4 linked regions of the Drosophila melanogaster genome follow. The protein of the gene in region 2 binds, or shares a complex with, the protein of the main gene of each other region. Each region holds a gene or a part of one and is shown on either strand. Other genes may lie near its edges.

Region 1 (4,970 bases), on a different chromosome or scaffold from region 2:
AGTAATACTTTATAATACTATATCATATATATCAGGTATATCCCCTTACCTTGCCGGCCGCCTTGATGTAGCGTCGCGTGGCCTCCTTGACGAGATCGCGGACGAGGAGTTCGCCGGAACCACAGGGAACCAGAATGCGAACGTCGCCGAAGCAGACGGTGACCTTCATTTCGTACTTTTCGTGTTAACAATAACTATTATCGTCTTCGATCTGCGATAATAAGTATGTATTTTTGACTGCTGCAATGCACTTTTTATTTTGCACACACATATATGCACTTGATTAAATTGGGCGATCGTTTCTTTAACTTATTTTTTTCTCGAATTTTTCGGATTTTTTCCTATTACTATTTTGTATGCAGCTACTTTTTTTTAACGCTATGCTCGTCTGCCTGCAGCAGCTTTTTGTTGTTCTTGTTGCTGTTGTTGTTACGACCGCATCATCATCATCGTCGTCGCTTTCCAGCTATCGCCATCCTTGTTGCTCCTTTCGCGTGCACAGTGCGCTTGTTGTTGCTGTATTGTTGGTTGTTAGGCAGCTGCAACAAAAGTTGGTCTAGGGCGGCATGGGTGCGAGCGAGATGGCTGCGTGCCTGGAAAAAGGATCGGGATCGCTTTCCAGTATGTACTTGTAGTCGCTCTCGCGCGCTCTCCCTCTCTGTCGCTCTCTGGAAACTGGAACTCTCTTTTGCTATTTACTTAGCATATTTCACCGTAAGGCATCGTTGTTATTGTTTGTTTTGTTGTGTTTGTGTGATTCATACACGCGCGCATTAAAAAAAACGAGTTACAACAACGGCAACCATAATAACAAGAACAACAAACAGCGGGCCAAGATCATTTATTTACTTCTTTTTTTAACGTTCTTCGCTCTCGCTCGCAAACTTGGCATTTGTTTTGGTCAAATTATTATATATTATGCGCTGTAGATTGCATGGTTTTAAATTTACGGTTCGATCATCGTTTTTATATCTTTTCTGTTACTCTCTTTTAACGTTGCTTTTGTCGTGTTTTTCGTTTTCGGTTATCTCCTTTTTCGCCCGTTGGCGTCGCTTCTTTCTTGTTGTTTATCACTTTCAACTATTCATATTTCGATTGCAAGTGGAATAGTATCGTTGACCGCCACTCTTATTAACGAACTATTTGAACTCAAAAAAATGCAAAAAAAATCCACGAGCAGCGCGTTGATTACTGCGCTTCGAGTTCGAATTCGCCCTGGCGAGCAACAACAAATGACCAAAATTCTGGGGATGGCAGGCTCATCGATACTATCGGAACAGCAGCTTGGCTTCTTCGCGGTATTTGGTTATACTTTACTGGGCGGTCACACTACTGCTCGTTATCTCCCGCTTATTTTAAAATCAGGGATTGGGCTAAATGCCATCTAATTCTGCAATAAGTTTTATTGAATTTGCATTGCTTTATATAAGTCAGCCTATTAAATAGAGATATTGATTAAGAGGTAATTAATCGTCTTAAAATATTAAAGTGTAAAGATGAAAATATTTCTTATGTAAGCTATGTATAAATATAAAATACTAGGAACAACCAATTTCGATAGGATTAATTGTATAGTCCTAAGAACGACAGATAGTGTTATCAAGATCGAGGAGTTTGAATCGAGAGCTTAAAAGAGAATAAAAAGAACTTAAAAAGATTGCTACACCTATATATATATTCATATATATATAAGATAATATAAGAAGATGTTCGATTTCATTCAACAGTTTAAGGAACGCCCCAAGCATTTCCTAATTTCCTAAGAATATATGTTTACCAACTCCTGTTAACATTTTATTTATTAGGCAAATACATTCATCTCGAATGTAAAACATTAAAATTTTCAATTAAACCTGAACGATATTGTGTGGGTGGGATAGCCATTGCGGTATTTTTTTCGCGCCATTTTCAGATTTGCGTTATCGATTACCGGCAATCGCTTGACGGCAATATTGTAACAACAAAGCACACATTCGCTCTCATTCAGCTAAAAAAGAAACTAAAAACCTTAAACTATATTCGATCGATGGCAGAACCCCGTCCCGGCGGCTACAACTACAAGACATTATTGTGAGTAAAAGTTCGTTCATCAAAGGCAGAGCGATGTCAACTATAGTTCCATACGAATCCCCAGATGCAGAAACATTCCGGAGCTATTTTTGGACAAATATGTGGCGCGTTCGCACTTTGGACGTTTTGGAACCCTCGTAAACTTCGTCCTGCGTCCGCGGCGAATGACCTGCACCGTAAGCTATGCCAGCGAGGACGAGGCGGCGCGGGCGCTTCTCGATGGCGCCAGCTTTCAGGGTCACCTGTTTGATATATCCTATGCTGATAACGAGACGGCGCCGGCACAGAAAACGGAGGAGTGGGTGGATCCTGACATTCAGGCGGAGTTGAGTGCACTGCAGTCGGGCTGGCGCAATGAGTATGGGTCGGGCAAGCCGATAAAAAAACCACAAAATGGCAGCAGTGGTAGCGGTGGCAGTTCAATGCTGCCTGCCATACCAGTTGGGCCCGCAACGGCGCCGGTGAGCAGAGATCGTACGCCTGCCCAGCTCAGGGATCTTGAGAACATGATGCGCAGACCCGCCCATACAAGCGAGGAGAAGTTCAGCGTGCTGGATGCCCGCGATAAGCTGCTCCGGTTGAACCGAACGCAACACAAGCTGTCCGGTGCCACCCAGGGTCACTGCGCCGATATGTGTCCGGAAAAGGAGCGCGTGCTGAGAGAATTCCAGCGCCAGGTAGCCTACTATGAACTACAACCGGGCTCCGATGAGCTAATCTGTCACGAAAGAGCCCTGAAGCAGTACTCGCGCAGCAGTGCCGACCAGGAGACGCCACTGCCGCATGAACTGCGCAATGAGACTGCCCTGCACATGACCATGAGCTATCTAATGCATGAGATCATGGACATTAGCGAGCGCCAGGATCCGCAAAGCCATATGGGCGATTGGTTCCACTTCGTTTGGGATCGCACGAGGTCCATCCGAAAGGAGATCACCCAGCAGGAGCTATGCTCTCTGGGCGCTGTGAAGCTGGTGGAGCAGTGCGCCCGGTTTCACATTCATTGCGCCGCCCGTCTGGTTGACGCCGATCCCAGCGTCTTTGACAGCAAGATCAACGCCGAGAATCTAACCAAATGCCTGCAGACTCTGAAGTACATGTACCATGACCTGCGGATTAAGGGCGTTCCATGTCCCAAAGAGGCGGAATTCCGGGGCTACATTGTGTTGCTCAATCTGGCCGATGCCAACTTTCTCTGGGACATCGGTCAGCTGCCCGCGGAACTGCAGAGTTGTCCCGAAGTGCGTCAAGCCATTCAGTTCTACTTGGCCCTGCAGGACACGAATTTTGTGCGGTTCTTTCAGCTGCTGGCTGACAAGGATACCAGCTACCTGAGTGCCTGCATCCTAGTCAATTACTTTACGCGACTGCGCGTGCTGGGGTTGCATCGTCTGATCCAGGCGTATAGGTCTCCGCGGAAGGATGAGGTGTCTTCGCTGCCTCTCAGCTACATCGCCGAGCTGCTGAGCTTTGCCAGCGAACAGGAGGCGGCGGATTTTGTCCAACACTATGGCCTGCAGATCAACGAGGCGGGCAGAGTTGTGCTAAGCAGAATGCACACGGTGGAGACGGAGTACAAGCTGCCGCGACAGTATGAGGTAAGTAAATGGTTTTCTTTTTTTTGTTTTATTAATTTGATTTTTATTATCCACTTCCAGTTGGTGGAAGTGAAACGCGTGAAGAGCGTGGGCGAAGTCGTCAGTGGGGAACCTTTACCACCACGAGACCTCTACCTCAATCACCGACCGCACAATAGCTTCGACGATTATGGAATGCTTAAGAGCATTGCATGGACGGCCAAGGATCAGCTGGCTGGCATGCAGCAAGAGGAGATGCAGCCACAAATGCCTTCGCAGCCACCAGCAGTCTCAAAACATAGCGATACTTTGTTTAAGGTGCCCATGCAACCCGACGGAACGGCAGCAGGGTTTGGAGTATTTGCTGCGGCTGCTGTTCCGCCAGCCTCCTCCATCGATGGATTCAGTTTTGTTCTTCCCAAATCACGTGCTCAGGAGTTCCAGGAACAAGCTCCGGCTACACAGCAGCGACGGGCACAAGAAGAGGCCAAGCATCAGGCCCTCCAAGTAGCCATTGCCGCTGCAAAGAAGCGGGAAGCTGAGCTAATGGCTATTCACGAGGCCAAAGTGGCCGAGGCTGAGCGAGTGCGTCAGCAGAAACTCAGGGAACGCCAGGAGCAGCAGCGTCGCCAGCAGCAGGAACTGGAGGAACAACGCCAGCGGGAGCAGGAGAAACTTCAGCTGGAAAAAGAGAGGCAACTGAAACTGGAACAGTTGTTTTTTGTGCAGCAGCAGGAAAGGGAGGCCCACAAACAGACCAGGACTTTGGAGTTGTATCAGGAAATATTCCAGGACACCCTCGCGGAGATTTGCCAAAGCGAGTTTATGTCGCATAGTCGGGCTTGCCGTTCCTACGAATCCATGCTGGACTCAATAACACGCGATCTCGTCGAGCGGCAGATGGAGCAATCCATCTACGAACTAGGCGTCATGAGGGTGTGCATCAGACGATGGCGGAAATATCGGCGAACGCAACAGGAGAAGGACACGCTATTTAACCAACTGCCTTTAAGTTTTGGAGCCGAAAACCCCGAAGGAGTGGTGAACAAACGAAGCATGGAAGATTCACTGCGTCTAAGCAGACGCTATCGACTTGGCGAGCCCTGCGATTATGGCAAACTTCTGGCTGGCCTGGAGGAGCATAGTTGGCTGAAACTGGATCTGTGGCACGTTTTGGACAAGTGTCTGCCGGTAGCGCAACCAGGAGCTAGACGCTTCTACAAGCTATTGATAAGCCTGTCCGGCGGCCAGGAGGGTCTCCAGTTGAACTGCGATTTGGATAGGGGACTACTGCAGCAGCCACAGTCGCCGGATGCTCGTTTT
Region 2 (7,573 bases):
GTACTTTATGTACCTGTCGTATCTATTGATCAGCGGTGAAAAGGTCAACAAAACGAGATCCATAAAAAATTCACACGCATTCGAAGCGGGTCGCGATTAGATATTTCATGGTCACTGCCATTGAATTGGGATTTGTCTCACAGTGTACACAGAAAATAAACATTTCTACTGTCAGCTTGATGCAGCTTGCCTTGGGTTTACAAAGACCAGGTTTCAAATCCCACACCCGTAAATACGTAAAAGTTGTAGTACTAATGTTGTAGTACTTCAGATTTAAGTTTATGTAAAATTACATTAATTGTATAAAATTTCTTTATGTGTACCAGGCCTTTTTTCTGGCAGTGTGTTGCAGTTGCACGTGAGAGACAGAGACAGTATGAAAAGCGAGAGAGACAATAGAAAACAGGTTTTAGTTTCAAGAGCAAATCTCAGAATTTTATGCTAGTGTTGACTGAGCAGGATGAAATGAAATGAAAAACGAAACAACACAGTGAGAGCGGGAAAGGGAGGATCAACAGCAGCCGAGTGAGCGTGTGCAAGCGAGAAGGTGCAACAAGTTTTACCGTAGCAACGCAGCAGGAGGCACACACATGCGGTGAAATAAGAGAGAGAGTTAGAGAGAGAGGTGGGGGTGGAGATGAGGTGTGCTCTGGAAAAGAGCGCCCAACAGTTCATAAAGTTTTCCTTTATTGTTGTTTACAAAGCACTTTGTTTAAACATTCCTGCCTAGCCATATTCTACCTAATTTATCGGCTTAATAGCCGCATTGCCAACTTACCAATGCCGAATTCTGCCTGCTTGGCATTGCAGTCGCTCCACACACTCATCTTGAAGGCTTTTCTTCTCGTTGTTGTTGCTTCTACTAGTGTTGTTGCTGATATTGTTGTTTTTGCGCCGACTTTTACCACCAACACGGCGACAAACGATCGCTACTCACACATGCAAAGCGATGGACTTTCGTTTGCGAAAATAAAAACAACAAGACATTAAATTAGGCAACGGCAAAAGAGCAACACGTAGTTGAAATTTTGATTTCGTTTTCACAATGCCGCCAACACAAGCATTTCGCCTCCGATTTCGCTACAGATTTCGACGAAAAGCACACCGGTTGGACAATTGCAACCAATAAATAATTATTGCACAAAAGCTAGCATTCCGCACAAATTGTCGCTCCGCAAATGCATTTTGCGCCGTTTTTCGCTCGTTTTGTTCTCGACTTGTATTTGGGCTGGGAGTTGGCCGCTGCCGCTCAGCTAATTATCACATGTACACGCACTCGATCGCACACACACTCGTGTGTGACAGTTGCCAATTAATTAAATAACCGCTCTCGGAAAACAACCCGCGCGTTTCAACTGTTTGTTGTGAATGAGCGTGCTCGATGCCCAGAAGTACCGTACTGTTCCCAATCGAAAATATCAAATATAGAGTGCCCCTTACAGCGTGTTCACACCGTTGATGTCAAATGGGTTTTCACTTTGTTCGCAGTACGGTCACATAAAAATGTGAAAATCGAGCTTACCTACAAAATACGAGAAACCCAAGTTATAAAATACATTTTCCACACATTCATAGTAAATTTGCTTCGGAGGCACCAAGCAAAAATTTTATTAAGACCATAAATAAGTTATGGTCAATAGTTATGCGCCTGGCAGTTGTATCCTGCTTTTTTACAGTGTATTTTTGCATGCGATTTCACGCCTTGGTCACACTTTTGGCTGCATTTTCTTCAACATCGTGAAAAAATCGGCGCGCCATTTCTGTCCACTTTTTGCGTCAGACTCGGTCGACTCCTGCTGACTTGACAAATTCGCGAGTGTTTATTTGTTTTAAGCTAAGCCTGTCCGGTCCCACAACCTTCGCATCCGGCGCAGCCGCCCCAGCTTGCCCAACGTGGTGAAATCGAAGCATTGCTCATCGCGATAGTTGGCATTCCGGCGAAGGACAAAGCAGGGGATCTACCTAGTATATGTTTGTTATCTGAGCAGCAGCAGCGAGCAAAATGTTTGGCGGCGCGAAACCCAGCTTCGGAGCCACTCCGGCGGCCACCAGCTTTGGCGGATTCAGCGGCACCACAACAACCACTCCGTTTGGCCAGTCGGCATTTGGCAAACCCGCCGCACCGGCCTTTGGAAACACCTCCACCTTTGCCGCCCAACCCGCGCAGCAGTCACTGTTCGGTGCGGCAGCCACACCAGCTCAGCCCGCCGGAGGCTTATTCGGGGCAAACACGTCCACGGGATTTGGAAGCACTGCCACAGCTCAGCCCACGGCTTTTGGAGGTTAGACACGATCATTTGAAGTGGTATCATGTTACTAATTTAGTAATTTCTTCTTTGCAGCCTTCTCGCAGCCGCAACAGACCTCGAACATATTTGGATCCACCCAGACGGCGGCAAGCACCTCCCTCTTTGGACAATCGACGCTACCCGCCTTTGGAGCCGCCAAGCCGACTATGACGGCCTTTGGGCAAACAGCTGCTGCTCAGCCCACGGGCTCTTTGTTTGGCCAACCGGCTGCCGCCACCAGTACAACAGGATTCGGAGGCTTTGGGACGTCGGCGCCTACAACCACCAATGTTTTTGGCAGTGGCACCGCCTCCGCCTTTGCCCAACCTCAGGCTACGGCCGTGGGAGCTTCCGGAGTCAATACGGGCACGGCCGTGGCCAAGTACCAGCCAACCATTGGTACAGATACCCTGATGAAGAGCGGTCAGGCAAATAGTGTGAACACTAAGCAGCACTGCATCACGGCTATGAAGGAGTTCGAGGGCAAATCTCTGGAGGAGCTCCGCCTGGAAGACTATATGTGCGGGCGCAAGGGTCCACAGGCTGGGAATGCTCCGGGAGCTTTTGGATTTGGAGCTCAGGTTACTCAGCCCGCTCAGCCTGCAAGTGGTGGCCTGTTTGGAAGCACTGCCCAACCAAGCACAGGTCTGTTTGGCCAAACTGTGACCGAGAATAAGAGCATGTTTGGCACCACCGCTTTTGGCCAACAACCGGCGACTAACAATGCATTCGGAGCAGCAACCCAGCAAAACAACTTTCTGCAAAAGCCCTTTGGAGCCACCACCACCACTCCGTTTGCCGCTCCCGCAGCTGACGCTTCAAATCCATTTGGGGCGAAGCCTGCTTTTGGACAGGGAGGAAGCCTCTTTGGTCAGGCACCTGCTACCAGTGCGGCTCCTGCTTTCGGACAGACTAACACAGGATTCGGAGGCTTTGGAACCACAGCCGGAGCAACGCAACAGTCAACTCTTTTTGGTGCCACACCAGCCGCCGATCCAAATAAATCAGCCTTTGGGTTGGGAACGGCTGCATCAGCAGCCACGACAGGTTTTGGATTTGGAGCTCCAGCAACAAGCACCGCCGGCGGAGGCCTTTTCGGAAACAAGCCCGCCACTAGCTTTGCTGCTCCAACTTTCGGCGCAACCTCCACGGCTAGCACTCCGTTTTCAAATTTTGGCCTGAACACCAGTACAGCAGCAACGGGAGGAGGCCTTTTTAACTCGGGATTGAACAAGCCAGCAACGTCCGGATTCGGAGGTTTTGGAGCCACCAGCGCAGCACCACTTAATTTCAACGCAGGCAACACGGGCGGATCACTTTTCGGAAATACAGCCAAGCCGGGAGGAGGTCTTTTTGGAGGAGGTACTACAACCTTGGGTGGCACGGGTGCTGCCCCAACGGGAGGACTGTTTGGAGGAGGAACTACCAGTTTCGGAGGTGTCGGTGGTTCCTTGGGCGGAGGAGGCTTCGGTATGGGTACAAACAACTCGTTAACTGGTGGTATTATGGGAGCTCAGCCCACACTGGGTATCATGACGCCTTCACACCAGCCCATTCATCAGCAGATCCTAGCTAGGGTAACTTCTCCCTACGGAGACTCTCCGATTTTCAAGGATCTAAAGCTAAGCAGTGAAGCAGATGCAACAAGAGCTACAAATCCTGCTGCCCAACAAGCAGTTCTGGACCTGACCAGCAACCAGTACAAGATAAGTACCAGCAACAATCCTGCTCCAATGAAGGTAAAGGCGCTGGGCAGCACACTTAATAGAAAATCGCTGTTTGATGGTCTCGAGGAGTTTGATGCTTCTGTAGAGGGCTTCAATCTGAAGCCCAGTGCTAAACGATTAGTTATCAAACCCAAAGTAAAAAGTGTAGAGGGTGGAAATCCCTCTAGCTCTATTGGCAGTGCTCCCAACACGCCCCAATCTCGACCCAAAGGCGCAACTCCCAACAAAGAACGCGAGTCGTTTAGCGGAGCCATTCCAAGTGAGCCGCTACCACCAGCTGGAAACTCGCCTGGAGCAACGAATGGACGGGAAAGTCAGGATAACGGCCGCCGTGAGTCATGGCTGCATCCTAACAACCTTGAGAAGGTACGCCAGCACAACATTCAGACTGGAATGGATCAGGGATCGCCCCATAACAGCACCCTCAACGAGCTTGTGCCACGTAAACCTTTAGATACATACCGACCATCCTCCACCGTTCGCCTCTCGGTGTCAACCATCCCAGAGAATCCATTTGAGGATCAATCCAGCACCATTGCACGTCGCGAAACCTTCACTTCGCAGCAGGCCAATGAGAGTGTGCTTTCGAACAGATCTAATGAGGCAGAGGACTCTGCAGCAAACCAATCCCGCCTAGCCATTGAGGCAGCTGCTGCAGAGGCAGCAGACGACGAATCACATCCAACAGGCATTGTGCTGCGACGCGTGGGTTACTATACAATTCCATCGCTAGACGACCTACGCTCCTATCTGGCCGAGGACGGATCCTGTGTGGTTCCGAACTTTACGGTGGGTCGGGAAGGATACGGCAATGTCTTCTTCGGCAAGGAAATGGATGTGGCTGGCCTGAACCTCGATGAGATTGGTAAGAGTCTTGTGTTTTTTTATAACCGTTTGTGTTTGCTCTCATACATTTATTTAATGCAAAACAATTTGTATCACAGTCCACTTTCGCAACAAGGAGATTATCATTTATCCCGACGACGAAAACAAGCCGCCCATTGGTCAAGGTCTAAACCGTGACGCCCAGGTCACTTTGGACCAAGTATGGCCGTTGGACAAGACCAAGCACGAAGCCATCAAGGACCCACAACGCTTGCTTGAGATGGACTGGGAGGGCAAGTTGCGCCGGGTGTGCGATAAAAACGATACGCGCTTTATAGAATACCGCCCGGAAACGGGTAGTTGGGTCTTCCGCGTCAAGCACTTTTCTAAATATGGCCTGGGAGACAGCGACGAAGAGGACGAGTTGCCCACTGACCCGAAAAAAGCCAAAATTGCAACGCTTGAGGCTCAGCAGCGGGCAAACGCAGAAAAGATGACGCTCAATTCGCTGCGCCAAGCGCAGAAGATTTCAGAAGATGCAGCCCGTAACTTGGACCCAAAAGCCTTGGTCGCAGGTGTTGCCAGCGGATTCAGGCCAATGGATGATACCGCCGAGTTCCTTTTAATGGACAAAACACGTACGTCTAAAGTCCATTTTAAAAGGTTTAGTTTCATTAATTGTAATTTACTTAATTTTAATTCGCAGAATTTTTCCAAGCTGGTGGCAACTCCGATTTCTCCATGTTTGATCCACCGCGTCAACGTCCAACGATTACCAGTCCCACAGCTGTTTTGGCTCAGGAAATGGTAGGCAACGAGGCGCACAAAATGCAGCTAATGAAGTCATCCTTCTTTGTGGAGGACAATGCTCCCGAGGACGAACCCATGGGTAGGTGGATAATCTCTTGATGGTCTTTCAAATTGCTTACAGTAAAAGATATGTAGATGTTTAAATGTTAATCGTTAGTTTTGAGCAAATATGTATTGTTAATTATCAACGATATTTAATGATTTTTGATCGTTGCAAAAAGTATTATATATATATATTTATGTTTAAAAAGGTAGCACAAATTATAAAGTTAATAAAGCTTTCAAATGTGTTAGTAAATCCAATTCATTTTGCCTGCTTTGGCAACAATTCATTATAATTACAACAATTCACTGCTTATCATCCCACACGGCCACTATACATTTGAAAATTACTCATAAATTTCTACAGAGACTACGGGGCGTCTTCTTCGTCATCGCAAGTTTTTCAACGTGGAACCTCTTGTTTGGAAAGATGGTGCCTCCGAGAGTTCCAGTCAGTACGATTTTGAACACCCATCGCCCGCTCTGCCGATTTCTTCCTCCGTCTCTGAGGCCAGCCTGATGTGTGATGCACATTATGAGGAGGTATATCGACGTAACCTTTTACTTTGAAGCCCAATAAACATCCTGATCAATTTCAGACATCGTCGATGGCAACTGGAAGCATTGTTGCAGCTGTAAAAGAAACGAAGTTTGAAATGCCTGTCACTAAAGCCTTCAAGTTTGTCTGTAAGCCCAAAGTGGCTCCGATTAAGTTGCGTGCCACCACGGTTCCCCTACCCAGGTCCATCGCTTATGAGATGCGCGATAATTGGATCGCCGATTTGGGATTCTACAAAGGACGCAGCTTTAAGCTCAGTTTTGGTCCACAAAACTCATTGGTACTGCCAAGCACCTATAATAACATGCAAAACCTAAAAGAATGTAAGAATATCTGAAACAAGCTGTAGCAGTCCAATTATAATAATTTCCCTTTGCTTCAGTTACTGGACCATCCCTGCCCGTCTCCATGGTATTTGCGCCGCGCTCGGCCACCGATTTGTCGCCCAGTGTAATGCAGTTGGTGGAGTTTAACATGGTCAAAGGCAACGAGGGTTTTCGAGAAAGTATCATTCCCCATCTCGAAGTTCAGCTTAACGACTGCCTCTCAGTTAATGTGGAGGGTAGTGAGTGCCCGTGTATACATCCCGATAGCGGTACGAAACTAGTTTCCAAGCACTTCTCCGAGTCTCTTAAGCAGAGAAATGCTGGCTTAAAAGAGGACTATAGCGTGTCAGTGTGGTCGCTTTTATTCGCACTATGGGGCGATCACGATGAACTGGTGGACCTGGAAAAGAACTCTCATTACATGGTCATGTGTCGGCGCAATCTGCTATCCGAGTGGCTTGAGAACACGCTGCTGGGCAAAGATCTACTCTCGAAAAAAGTTAGCACCCACAGCTACCTGGAGCACATGTTGGATTTACTTAGCTGCCATCGCGTAAATGAGGCTTGTGAGCTGGCCTTCAGCTACGATGATGCTAATCTGGCTCTTGTGCTGTCCCAATTAAGTTCCGGAGCTGTCTTCCGGCTATTAATGGAGGAGCAGCTCTTTGCCTGGCAGCAGAGCAAGTCGGATAAGTATATCGATCTGGAGCGCCTTAAGATGTACATGCTGGCCGCCGGAGCGCCAATGATGCAGTCTTCACATGGGGCCATCAACTTACTCGAGAATAAAAACTGGCTGACAGCACTGGCCCTGCAGCTATGGTATTTCACAGCCCCAACATCGTCTATCACCGATGCACTCAATGCTTATAACGACGCCTTCCAAGCGGAAGAGTGCTATGCGGAGCCCCCAAAGCCCAGCTACAGGGACGCACCTACTGACACCAAGAAGCCCGTCTACGATTTGCGCTACCACTTGCTCCAGTTACACTCTAA
Region 3 (7,727 bases), on a different chromosome or scaffold from region 2:
CTAGTTGGGCAGTCTCAACTTTGGAGTACCGAATTTGAAGTCTTTTGATCACCTAGCACTGCATAACTAGGTTATTTTCATAGCCAAGGAGTAAAGTATACTGAATACACTCGAAAAAAAAAACACTAATAGAGAATTATAGTTAATACAATTACCAACCATATGTGAGTCTACCATTTGCACCGTTCTTACTATAATTTGAAGAAGCTGTACTTTAAAGGTATAGTTCAGTTTCTTCCTGTGTACTCTGTCCTATGACTTCTTTTTTTTTTGTGTGTGGGAGCGAATTATGAAGTACAGAGGAAATGGTCGAGCAACACAAACGCACACACACATTTGGAGAAACTTGGGAGATACTTACATTTGTTATTGTTGCTGCTTCCTCGAGGCTGTGCTGTTGTTGTTGCCGCTGCTGCTGGTGGTGTTGTTGTTGTAGCTGTTGCTGGAGTAAGTGCAGTTGTTGCTGTTGTAGTTGTTGTTGCTGATGTGCCGCAATACCACCACAATCCATAGTAATTACGGGTGCGAGGGGGCGGGGTTAAGTGTGTGTGGGAGTGGAGTGGAGTCGTCAATTGGGAGCGCACTCTCTATCTCTCTCTCTCTCTCTCCAAATCTCGCTCTCTGTATTGCTGCTCCTTCGCGCGATCGCTTACTGCAGCGGAATGAAAAGCGAAACAGACATAATTGAAGAAATGCGATAGCTCTCCGTCTTGAATTTCAACGATTCGCCGTAAGGGAGCGCTGTTAACCGCTATTTCAGTCACTGTTTGTGTCTTGTTCCTTTTTTTTATTTTTTTTTATTTTCAGCTAACTCTGCAGTTTGCCTTTGTCCATATTTTCGGTGGAAAAACCACTTCCTTGCTCTCTCGCTCTGGCTCCCTTGCTCTTCTATACCGCTCTCTCTCTCGCTCGCCAGGCGTTGCGTGGGCGAACGTAGGGGAGAGAGCAAGCGAAACGAAAAGAGAGAGGCGAACGCAGTTTGGAGTTTTATGCACTGGAGTTGTGAGTATGTTCGTGTGTGCCTGTGTGACTGCTACCCCCACACACTTGCACTGCCTCTCTTCCTCTCTGTCGCTCTCGCACACCCAGTACCAAGTACTCTGAACTCCAACTCCAGTTACAAATTCAATTCCAATTCGAATAATTCCCAATGAAATTTGAATTTTCCTTCCAATTGCACTGGCTTTGGCAGTTAGTATCCCTTTTGGCATTTATTGCAGCCGAACTGCGCCGATTGCATTTGCATTTACACTTCTACATCCACTTCCACATCCACTTGCATCGACAGCCAGAACCAGCATCCCACTATGGTGCAGTTCAGCCTGCCCGCGGCCATCGGTGATTCACTCACAATGCGAACAGGACACCACTTGGGCAGTGCGTTCGCTGGCCAAATCAAGTGGCGGAGAACAGAAAAAAAAAAAAACGCGAATCGGAACAAAACAAATGGATGCTACTATCGGGTAACTACGAAAAGTCCGTGCGTAGATTTTCACGAAAACGCCCCGCCCGCGCCGCACTGAAGTTGTGTTAGTTAGTGGTGCGACAACGCACCGATGCAGCGCCTCGATTATCGTTCGATAAGCATCGATTTTCCGATTGACTTGGTTCGAATCAACCGTTTAGCCAGCGCAGCAACCGCAGTTAGCGGGCACAAGCACCGAAGCGCGTACGAGCGTGGTGAGTTCGTACGGTGGTGAACATCTGTGTTTTCCAGTATTTGCAGCACCCAGCCCTGGTAACCGGCGCCTTGTCGCAAAGCGAAGCAATCTTGCCGCGTTTTATAGTCAATAACTGCGAATCAGCAAGAACTGCGTGAACTGAGCGAACCGCAAAACCAAGTGAAATGGATGGTGAGTGCCTGGCCAACGAGCAGATGTGCGTGGGTCGCCAAATCACTAATGCCACCCATGCGTCCACAGCTGTAATCGAGGACATGTGGACGCCGTACAAGCATTTGTACAACACTTTTCAGACCGCGGTGTCCAATCGCAGTGGCTTCACCTCGGATCTGGAGCAGTGCCTCAAGAAGTACAAGCACAACTTCAGCAACTTGCTGCGCAATCCGGTGGGTATAGCAAAACAAGCGCTTGCAGATCCGTAGATTTAACTAATTATTGATAATCCATTATTGAAAATGTCGGCAGCCGAGAAGCGAGAAGAGCCGCAATCTCCTACGAAATGCCCTCAACGAAGGCGTCCCGATGCAGGGGCATTCGCGAAAGACAAAGATGTCACAGGACCTGGCCGACGAGGCGGTCATTCTGTCCGACATGTTCGATCTGGACGAGGGTTTCGCCGTGGAGCTGCTGTGCACCGCACAGCGCCAGCAGAAGCATCATCCCGGCCTGTCCAGAGGCCTTGTCGCGGTGCTGCTCTACTACGATGGACGAAAGGCCATCAGCTGCACGCTTCGCGACATGTTCCAGGTGGTTAGCGGCGTCTCGTGGAACACCGAACTGCCCAAGGAGGTAAGTTTCGAGATTTCGACATCGCAGGCATCGCAGTGCCGCTGAAAGAGAGATTCACTGACCCTGATTATCGTTCTACGCACGCAGATCACCGGTCTGGTCACTAACTATGCCGAGAGCCTTGTCGACGGCTCTGGGATACTGGGACGCCTGCTGCAGCTGCTCGAGGAGATGGATGTCGACAAGGAGGTGGGTTTGTATGCGCCTGTTTCTGAAATTCTCTGAAATTGCATATCTTCCTTCGCAAATTGTTATTCATTTGTTGTCCAACGTTCGCAGTGCGCTATGCTGACCACAAACCGCGCGTTTGGCTCCAAGAAGCATCAGAACCAGGTGCTCGGCCTATACGAGGACATTCAACAGGCATTGGCAATGGCCCTGTTCAATTGGTCGGCACAACGCGGCCTGCCGCGACACATTGCCATTCGGCTGATGCACCAATTGGCCAACCGAAAGAACCACGACGCGGGCGGCAACATGGACGACGTGACCCTGATCATGCTGATGGCTCTGCTGTATGCGTACGATACCTCCATGCTGCTGGTCACCGAGGAACCCAATGAGCACACAACCCGACTTCCGATCTTCAGCGATCGCGAGTTCGCCGAGTGCTTCCTGGAGGAGCTGTACGCGCAGAGCAGCTGGCAAGCACCGCGCCTGAATGCCATCATTGCCTACAGCTTCGGACTAACGCTGGCCAGCCTGCGGCATGCACCTTTGCAGCTTCAGGCCACCGCCATCTCGATCATCAATCGCGATGAGATGCTCATCGACGAGGCACTGGGAGCGCAGGTATTCGTCTTCTTCCACAGCTTGCTGCTCGAGAAGGATCTGGTCTATAGGTGAGTACTGACAACTGAAGTGTCAATTGCCGATTCGCAAGCTAATCATCATTTGTGCTGACAGCACGCAGTTCTTCTACCGCCGCGTCCATCTGCTCATCACGGACTTCATCGACTTCATGAACTCCAAGGTGTCGGAGCTGCGCGGCCGAGCAGACGAGTCGTCACACACGATCATCAGCTTCCTAAACGAGGGTCTGGAACCGCCGCCCAACTTGGACTCCAACTTTGAGCTGCTCATGCTGTGCGTGGCCAAGATGCACGGCGATCCGCGCGTCACCATCAGGCTGTGCAACGAGTACTGGGGCCCCGGCGATCCCAACGGCTCTACGGCATTCAAGAACACCTCGCGCTCGGTGTCGCTGTTCAAGTTCATTAGCTTGGCCAGCGACCTGCTGCCACAGACGCTGTTCAAGGCCTACCTCAAGATGATATCCGGACTTACACGGACCGATTTCTCGGCTCGATGCGCCTTCAACATGCTTAGGGTGCCCCAGATGGCCACCGGCGGCAAGTATGCGGTTAGCTGGGATCACTTCTTCACCACCCTGGGCAACTACTATACGTAAGTGTGACTCAAATCTGGTATTGAAGATCTCTCTGAAGATCACTATCTTCTAGTTCGATGCGCAACGACTTTAACACCAACATCGGCATGAGCGGCGAGACCATTTACCGCACCCGATCGACACCAAAGGCCATTACGCAGCGAGAGGCGGAGCATCTGGTGGCCGTAATGGGCATCATACAGGCGGTGGCGGAACACGACGAGGTCTCGCGCATCATGATCTGTGACCATCCCAATTGGCAGACGCCGCAGGTGCTCCTGGGCCTGGTTGCGTGCGCCACGCCGCTTTTTTTGAAGGCGGAGATTCTGCACACGCTGGCTGCCCTGGCCAAATCGAAGGAGACGGCGCGCGTCATCTGGTTCCACCTGGAGGCCTCGCAGATTATACCCACTGTGCCCGTGTCTAGAAGCTATGCCCAGTGCAGTTTGTTGGAGGAGATGGAACAAATCGAGAGCCGTTCGGAGCAGTATAACCTGACGCGCGGCATCCTCCAATTGCTCTACACACTGATGACCACCAATCTGCCGAAGAGTTTGGGCGCCGGGCAACGGACACCGGCCTACGAAGGCTATCTAAAGTCCATGATAAATTCGGTGTTGCTCAAGTTTTACAATCGCGCGTACAAGGTTCCCTCCGAGAAGTGGCAAGTTGGCGCCCAGTGCCTGAAACTGCTCTACTACCTACTGGCCACCTATCGGCCGTCCGCAATGGATTTTCTGGAGACAGTCGATGAACCTCCCTATCCGGGCTTTCACGTTATGATGCAGCTGCAGCTGAAGTCCGAAATGTTGCAGCTGCTGCTGTGCATTGTGGAGGAGGTGCGTGAGCGGCTGGACAACTACAATCGCTTTCAGGGCAAGAAGCTACTCGAGGAGTGCTCATTGTACGCACTGCTGATCCTGGAAGCCGCATTGGCGAAACAGAACGCCTTCTTTGAGGCCCACTCGGCGGCCAATTGCCCCATTTTGCTGTCGGGCCTGAATCGCATGCTCCTGGATCTGAATCCACGCAGTCGCAAGCCCGATCACGTGCTGAATATCATTAAGTATGTAACCTATAATAGCTGGCTGCCGCGGCACGCCCTGGCCGCCATTAAGATTCTGGCTTCGGTCACCCAGCTGCCGAATGTCTCCACCCAGATTCTCAGCATGTACGGTCAGGGCAGCAATGAGAAGCTCGAGATTCGTCAGGGTTTCGTCGAGTGCCTGGAAATGGAGGTGTGCGTGGGCAAGCACGACGACGATTTGTTGGACCAACTGGCCCTCAACAATCACGTTCCGTATCTGGGATTCGGCGATGATCTGGACAATGAGCGAGAGATGAGCGGGGAACGCGAATATTCAACTATTGAATCGCAACTGGAGCTGCAGGCGGGGGATGGCGCGCTGGAGAGCAAACCGGCTAGCATTGAGCTGCAACTGAAAGAGGCCATTATCAAGCTGTTCGAGATGAATCTTAGCCAGCAGTTGCCCAACTTTGTGTACTTCCTGCTCGGCGTGGATGTGCTGCGCGAATTTATGGCCAACGGACGGCAGCACCTGGCCATCGAGATGCAAAGCTCGTGCGTGAACTCCGTAGTGCTGTTGCTGGAAAAGTACATGGATGTGAGTTGAAAGCCATTGGCCATTACTATCTATTCTAACTAACTAACTAACTAACTAACTTACCAACTTTTAACAATCAAATCAATCTCTGATATTGCAGAAACAGCGTCACAGCGATAAGTACTGCGAGCACACGGCGAGAATCGTGGAGCGCATTTACCATCTGTTCCATGGACTCTGCGCCAATCGCCGCACCGCGGAGACGATACTGCGCTACTTCCGGCTAACGTGCAGCGACTTCCTGCTGCGTCACCTACGCTCGCTGCCCTTCCGGCAGCATCGCGAGGATCATGTGCTGCACGCCATGGGCCACCTGCTCAACTGCGTCTCTATCGATGTCAAACTGGCGGCCAAACATGGCCAGATGACGCGCTTCAACCAGATGTGCGACATTTTGCTAATTGGAAACGGAATGGAGCGTTCATCCCATGGCCTGTCGATGGAATTGGGCCACAGCCTGATTTCACAGCCGTCGTCGTCTTTCCTCGCCATGGATGTGCTACCGGCCGGTGGATCGATAAGTGCCGTGGCACATGGGGCTGGTTCGGCGTCTCTCGGAGCTCCAAACACTGGGGTCAAATCACTTAAGCCATCGCTGCTGCAGGAGACATCGCAGGGACTGCATGTCACCCGACTGCTAGATATTCTCGTCCTGGAGGCGGGCACGTTGAGCCAGCCGCAGCTGGAGTTCTTCGACGGGCATCTGATCACTCAACTGCTGCGCGACTGCGAGGCATCCGCCGAAGCTGGCGCCAATTCCAGGGCCAACTTGATCAACGTGCGCAAACTGTACTACATTCTCACCGACGAGCTGTACATGGTGCAGAGCATCATTGCCAGCGGCCAGCGGAAGGCCATTTCCACGGAAATCATGCTGCTGCTCAATCACGCCGTCAACATAAATCGCGTGCGGACACAGCGCTGCGCCACGCTGGCCTTCATGGCAGCATGGGGTCAACTGGTGCAGGTGCTCTTTAGCAACATGCCCGATGCCGTGCTTCCGGCGACGCAGCGTCGCCAGCACATCATCGATATCGTCGAGAAGGTACTCATCAAGGTGCAGCCCATACAGCCCATCATCGAGATATCCGTACAGGTGAGCGAGACGGTGCTGCTGCTGCTTGCCAATTTGCGCTACTGCTGCTACCAGGCCGAGGACCAGAGCCCCGAGGATCTGGCCGCCGAGGATTCGCTCAGCAATGGCAATGGCAACGCCATCGGCAACGATTCGCAGGTGAACGCATTGTGTCTGGGCCAGAGGGCAATCGGAACTGGTTCGGATGGCGGCAGTGGAGGTGGACGGGATATCGGTTCCGGTGGCAACAGCAGCAATCTGCGATTCATTCTCAAGAACCTCGTCCAGTGGATCATGATCAGTGAGGTGAAGTCGCAGAAGCTGCGCATCAATCTGTACAGTTCGCTGCTGAATTGCCTGCGGATCGCGAAGCGACTGCGCACCGACGAGCATCTGGAGTACCAGGAGACGTAAGTGTATCCTTCTCAACAGCAGTAGCAGGCAGTTGTAGCTTTCATTCTATTTCATTGCAGATTGATTTCGCGCCAGGAGAGTGCACGCACGTACAACAAGGAGCAGCGGCGCGACGATCGCCTGCGGCTGAAGGCCATGGCGGCGGAAGTGATTGGCACGTTCGGCGAGAAGCTGATCGACACCATCTGCCACGATGCGGTGACCGGCCACGATGTGTGCCGCATGCTGGCGCTGGCCTGCCTGGACATGATCTCCGAGCTGCAGGCGGTGAGCACGCTATGCGACTTTGTGGCATCGCGTGGCTACCTCAAGCACATACTGGAAAGCCTTGATCAGTCCAGTACGGCGCTTTGCGGGATTCTGCAGCCCGTGCCGGATCACCTGAGGCCGCTCTACGTCTACGAGTCGCGCATGGCCTTCCTCACGCGCATGGCGAACAGCAATGTGGGAGCCCGGCTCCTCCTCACCGAGCAGGCGCTGGGCGTGCTTTCGAATATGAAGGTCTATGACCAGCAGCCCGACCTGAAGTCCAGCGAACTGAATCGTAACGAGCCGCAGACCTTCCTCCCGTCCATCGATGACCGCTTCCGGTCGATCCTCCTGCCGGCGCTGAGCCTCTGCGATGCCATTGTCAACTCGCTGGGTCCGCGCAACAACTCCGCCGCCGTGCAGGTGCTTAACTTTCTGTTCGCCCACATCGACATGGTCGAGGCCATGTTGCGCTCGGCCACGCCGTATATGGACCTCGGCCA
Region 4 (4,729 bases), on a different chromosome or scaffold from region 2:
AATTCCAAACTGTTTAGAAGCAGTGATTGGCTCTGCTGCTCGCGGTGATAAGTCTCCTTTTCGATCTGCAGTCTAGAAGATGTGTCCCTTAGAATGCGGTTCTCTTGGCGAAGGCTTTGAGCCTCTGCATCGGCTGCTGCGTGCTTGCGGTGTGCCGCCATCATTTCGTCCTTGAGCAAATGTACGGTTTGCTCGTGTTTAATAATGGTCTTTTCATAGTTCTTGGTACGCTCTTCCAATGTAGTCACCTGCTGCTTGTAGGTGCCTATATTTTTGTGAAGTAGTTCGATTTGCTCTTTCTGGAATTCGGTGGTGTTCATAAGCTTGCAGTTACTGCTGGTTAGCTCCCGCACCTCCTTACGCATAGAATCGAACTGTTCTTGGGCCAGTGCATCGTTTTTACGCTTTTCGCTAGTGTAATAGTCGTAGTTCTCTTTCAGTGAGGCATACTTCTTGACCTCCCCTTCCAACTGTTGCTCCAGCTGTCGCACCCTCTTTTCCAGTTTCCTGCTCTCCTCAAAATTGGCTGCCGGCTGCTCTGAAGTATCCAGTGCAGAGTCGTTAGGCTCCAGATTGGAGTCGTCCAGATCCACAGTATTTTGACCGAGCTTCTTCTGAGCCGCGAAATATAACTTCTTGTAGCGGTCGCACTTGGATAGTAGTGTAGTAACCGTATTGTTCTTTTGCGTTAATAAATCCTCCAATTCGGCAAAACGCGCATCCAGTTTTCTTATGTGATTCTTAGACTGCTCCAGCAACATCTTATCTTGGTTCTTTTCGCTAGCCTCCAAAAGTTCTGTGAGCTCGCGGGACATATTCAGGAGGTATGTATTTCTATCCACCAACTCTTCAATAGAACTAAAGGTTACCAAGTTATCGCTGATCAAACTTTCGCTGGTGGGTAGCTGACGAGTTGGTTGGATACGTACATGTTTCACTCCAGCCCTTATGCAGTTCAATTCGTCCAGCAACATGCACACCTGTCGGCTGAGATCGGTGTGTGTCTGTTTTAGTTTCTTATTCTCATTTTGGTTGTGATTAAGGGTAGATAAGGCCCTTTCCAATTCCCGCTCAAGGCATAGCTTATTTTGTAATAATTCATCATGCTCCCGCAGGAGCTCACTGTTAGTTTCCTTCATTTTTTGGTAATCGGAGTTCTGTTTTTCCAAAATCGGTGCACTCTCTGAAATCTCAGCAATGATCGACTTGAGCTGCAACTTCAACTGCTCAATTTCGCAGTTTCGCATCTCCAGTTCTTCGCTGCTTTTGGCGTACATGGAGTAAAGTTCGGTAAGCGATAGATCGGAGCGGATAAGGCGACTAGCCACAGCCGCACTGGGAGCCAACTGGCATATGGCGCTTTCCAAATTACTTTCCCGGGCCTGTTTTAGCAAATCGTTGGCACTTGCTAGCTCCTGTTCCATAGCCTGAATCTTCTTATTTTGCTCGTCCAACTCAGCGCTGTGCTTTTGCTTCATGGTTTCCATTTGCTCCGTCAACTGGGCGCACTGCTCTTCGGCCTCCTCTAACAAACGTTTAATTTCGGAGATGCCCTGTAGGAGTTCCTCCCGTTGGATCAGATGATCGGATTCGGTGCTCTTAAAGATTTCAAAAAGCTTCTCTTTGGCATCAAGTTCCTTTTTCAGCTTCCCCACATACTCTTCCGTGGCCTGGTTCTGCTTGAAGGCGGTGTCGTTTTGCATTTCAATCTTGCTGGTTAGTTCCCCGATGGTCTTGACGGCCTGTTCGTACTGTTCCTGCATCAGCTTTAGCGATTCGGTCTTTTCTTTAAGGCAAGACTGTAGCTGCATGGTGTTTATTGTGTGCTCCCGTCGGATGTTCTGTAACTCGGCGTTGCTTTTGTTCAGATCTCCGCTGATTAACAAAATCTCCTTGTGCAGCATATCGCGTTCGCTTTCCATGCGGTTCTCTTTGAGCTCCAGAGCCACTTCCTTACTTTGAATTTCGTCCACGCGAGCAATGGCTTCGCACTTGGCAGCAATCGCGCTGCTCAGCTGCTGCTGGTAGGTGTGCAGATCCTGCTTCAATCGTTCCAGCTCCGCTTGTTGGCGCTCGATTACCTTCATCATCGAATCGCGTTCTTCAACTACCGACGCCTTTTCCTTGCGCAACTGTGATATAGTTTGCTCGCCTTTGGCGATCGTGTCCATTAGGTTAACTCGTTCCGAAGACATCTGATCTAGATGAGTGCGCAGCTCGTTTACATTTAACTCAAAGCTGGTAAATTTTACTAGATAGTCCTCCATTTTGTTCTCCAGCTCTTCCTTTTTTTGCTCGGCTTCGGCTGTGAAAAGGGCAAAAATAAATAATCTTCTTAACTGGATTTAAGTAACCACAAAGTATTTGGATTAAAATGAATACACAGAAATTCCCTGAAGATTTCAAACTCGGACTAATCAACTGTTTTGGTGGGAAAATGTCCGGCCAGTGTTACCACACCGGTGAGGTGAAAATTAATAAGGAAAATAATGTTGCTGCAAGCAGCCATTGTTTTTAATTGCAACAACCCGGAATTTTATATTTAAATTTCTATACAAAAAATATGTAAATGGCGCAAGAGTGTTTACCACGCTAGAAACCATACAGTCGCGGATTGCTTATTACAAGAAGCGGTATCTGAGCCGGTAAACGCCGCAAAGTTGGAGGTAAAAGCATACGCATGCAAATAAAGGGTTATTTGCAAAATATGGCGCATTTTAGTATATATACAAATATAAAAACTTACCCAACCGATTGGCGGCCGCACGGTTCTTGCAGTACTCATCTGAGAAATTGTTGATGTACTCCGACAATTTCTTCTGGACGTCTTCCGGCACGAGTTTCAACTCGTCGGGCTGAAGTATGTTGTTCAGAGTTTGTGGACCACTGAGATCCATGTTCGCAGTTGATCCTTGTCAAGCAGCGGTTAAATTTATATGGAGCGGTGCGAAGTTTACTTTCTTACTTTTTACTTTACTTTAGTCTTAATTTTTTGCGAATTGTGCACAAAGTCGCTTTAGGGACGCGAAAAAATGAACGTCAATGCAGTGGAGATGGAACAATATCGATATTTTTCGGTACTATCGATTCGAGTATATTATTCTCACTGTTTCAACAGCGTTATAACAGCCTATTCACAGCCTAATAAAACAAAATGTTTTTCTTTAAAAAGAGATAAATTCATTCATAAAAAAAATTTTTTAAACGTGGTTGAAAAATCCGTTTTTATTACGAATAAAAAAAGAAAGGACTTTATTTAATAACATAAACGAATGCAAAACCCAAACCAAGCGAAATCATTCCCTTTAATTCCATAAAACGCGATTAACCTTTTGATTTCGTGTTTATTTGGTAATTGTCTTTATGGGTAAATGTCTCACAACAACTATTTTAATTCTAGGGTAATGTAATGTGATGTTCTCCATTCAAGCCTCCCTTCTGTCTAAAGCCACTTAATTTTTCCTGCACAAAGTTTAGTCCTTTCCGATATGGATGTGCGAACCTACAACTATAGTCGGCCTATATAACCATCTAGTCGGGCATTGATCGTAGTTATCATATTATAAAGTTATATACGGGTATTTGTAGTTCATGTCTTTTAAACTCAGTTCTTTTTGCGCAACATTTGGTGCTCAGTTGTTGGTTGTTTAGGTTGTTTGGTTTCTTCGTTTGAATATCATCATCTTACACATCCTTTTGCTGTTGCTCAACGGAAGGATAACAAGCGATTGGGTGCGGGTGGGCATGGGGATTGATTAAGATACAAAGATACGGATGAGAACGTACGGATAGTAGTAATAGTAACTGGTAGAATCAGCAATATCGGTGAGGCATTCGAACTCTGAAACTCAGGAACTCAACTAGTATTTGATCGCTACTAAAACACTATTAACATATGGGGCAACCAACGAATCCGAATCATTTCTAGGCCTCCTCGCACTCCTCCTCCTCGCGCTGAACAAACAACCGATGGTTGCGGGCCTCCAGGATGGACCACACAATCAGCGGAGTGGTCCCGAGCACCATGCAGGATCCCATGCAGTAGAAGCATATCTCGTAGTCTCCGGAAAGGTCTCGCATCAGTCCTGCCAGCGGAGGCACCGATATGGCCCCGATGCTCTGGAACATCCTCACCAGCCCGTAGCTCGAGCTGATCCTGTCCGTGCCAAAGACGTCCGCAAGGAGGACCGGCATAAGTACATACCAGCTACCCAGGCAAAGTCCGTAGACAGCGGCCGATAGACCCACCAAAACCAGAGTCTTGGCGAAGGGAATTGTGAGCACGGCACATCCGGCGCCCAAAATGCTGTCGATATAGGGAAATGTGATTAGTTTGGATCGAAAAATAAACCTTATCTGGTACTCACCACAAGGTGTAGGTCTTCTTGCGATCGAATAGCTGCAGGTCGCACAGCCAGCCAAGTCCAAGGCGCCCAATTAAATCTAGGACCGCGCTGATGGCCACCAGGTATCCCGCCTCACTTTTATTGTATCCTAAAGATGAACCAAGTTTATAATATTTAAAATCGTACGCCGAAAGAATATACTTTGAACATTTTAAATAGTATACCTATTGAAATAACGTGGGCGGGCAGATAGTACAACATGTAGGGACAGCCGACGGACATCAAGGTGACGGATAGGCACATCAGGATAAAGCTCGGGTCCTGCAGCAGACTGATGTCCAGGTACATCTCGATGCGCTCGCAGCAAGTGCGTGGTCCCCGCT

What was found.
Region 1: Nup98-96 (region 2) and xmas share a complex: the UniProt entries of both Drosophila melanogaster proteins name them as parts of the nuclear pore complex.
Region 3: Nup98-96 (region 2) and Nup205 share a complex: the UniProt entries of both Drosophila melanogaster proteins name them as parts of the nuclear pore complex.
Region 4: Nup98-96 (region 2) and Mgtor share a complex: the UniProt entries of both Drosophila melanogaster proteins name them as parts of the nuclear pore complex.

What each region holds. Positions count from the first base shown.
Region 1 is NC_004354.4:17,156,271-17,161,240, reverse strand, and holds the start of xmas (xmas), read left to right. Parts: upstream 1-1,934; 5' UTR 1,935-2,026; coding exon 2,027-2,070; intron 2,071-2,134; coding exon 2,135-3,668; intron 3,669-3,728; coding exon 3,729-4,970. UniProt on the Drosophila melanogaster protein: Involved in mRNA export and mRNA coupled transcription activation.
Region 2 is NT_033777.3:23,775,594-23,783,166, reverse strand, and holds the start of Nup98-96 (nucleoporin 98-96kD), read left to right. Parts: upstream 1-1,545; 5' UTR 1,546-2,002; coding exon 2,003-2,282; intron 2,283-2,342; coding exon 2,343-4,880; intron 4,881-4,959; coding exon 4,960-5,478; intron 5,479-5,546; coding exon 5,547-5,729; coding exon of another isoform or gene 5,730-5,749; exon of another isoform or gene 5,750-5,951; intron 5,952-6,059; coding exon 6,060-6,235; intron 6,236-6,291; coding exon 6,292-6,574; intron 6,575-6,633; coding exon 6,634-7,573. Other genes in the region: mbc (myoblast city), read right to left, coding at 779-827. UniProt on the Drosophila melanogaster protein: Part of the nuclear pore complex (NPC). Required for MAD import as part of the Nup107-160 complex and required for nuclear export of Moe probably via its association with Rae1. Plays a role in nuclear mRNA export.
Region 3 is NC_004354.4:19,850,502-19,858,228, forward strand, and holds the start of Nup205 (nucleoporin 205kD), read left to right. Parts: upstream 1-1,712; 5' UTR 1,713-1,846; coding exon 1,847-2,068; intron 2,069-2,147; coding exon 2,148-2,471; intron 2,472-2,558; coding exon 2,559-2,660; intron 2,661-2,750; coding exon 2,751-3,313; intron 3,314-3,377; coding exon 3,378-3,878; intron 3,879-3,934; coding exon 3,935-5,486; intron 5,487-5,586; coding exon 5,587-6,971; intron 6,972-7,034; coding exon 7,035-7,727. Other genes in the region: pico, read right to left, coding at 362-511. UniProt on the Drosophila melanogaster protein: Plays a role in the nuclear pore complex (NPC) assembly and maintenance, but with limited role in NPC permeability. Required for specific nuclear import pathways such as Mad import.
Region 4 is NT_033778.4:11,850,924-11,855,652, reverse strand, and holds the start of Mgtor (megator), read right to left. Parts: upstream 3,037-4,729; 5' UTR 2,898-3,036; coding exon 2,747-2,897; intron 2,306-2,746; coding exon 1-2,305. Other genes in the region: Sln (silnoon), read right to left, coding at 3,925-4,306, 4,368-4,494, 4,571-4,729. UniProt on the Drosophila melanogaster protein: Component of the nuclear pore complex (NPC), a complex required for the trafficking across the nuclear envelope. Functions as a scaffolding element in the nuclear phase of the NPC.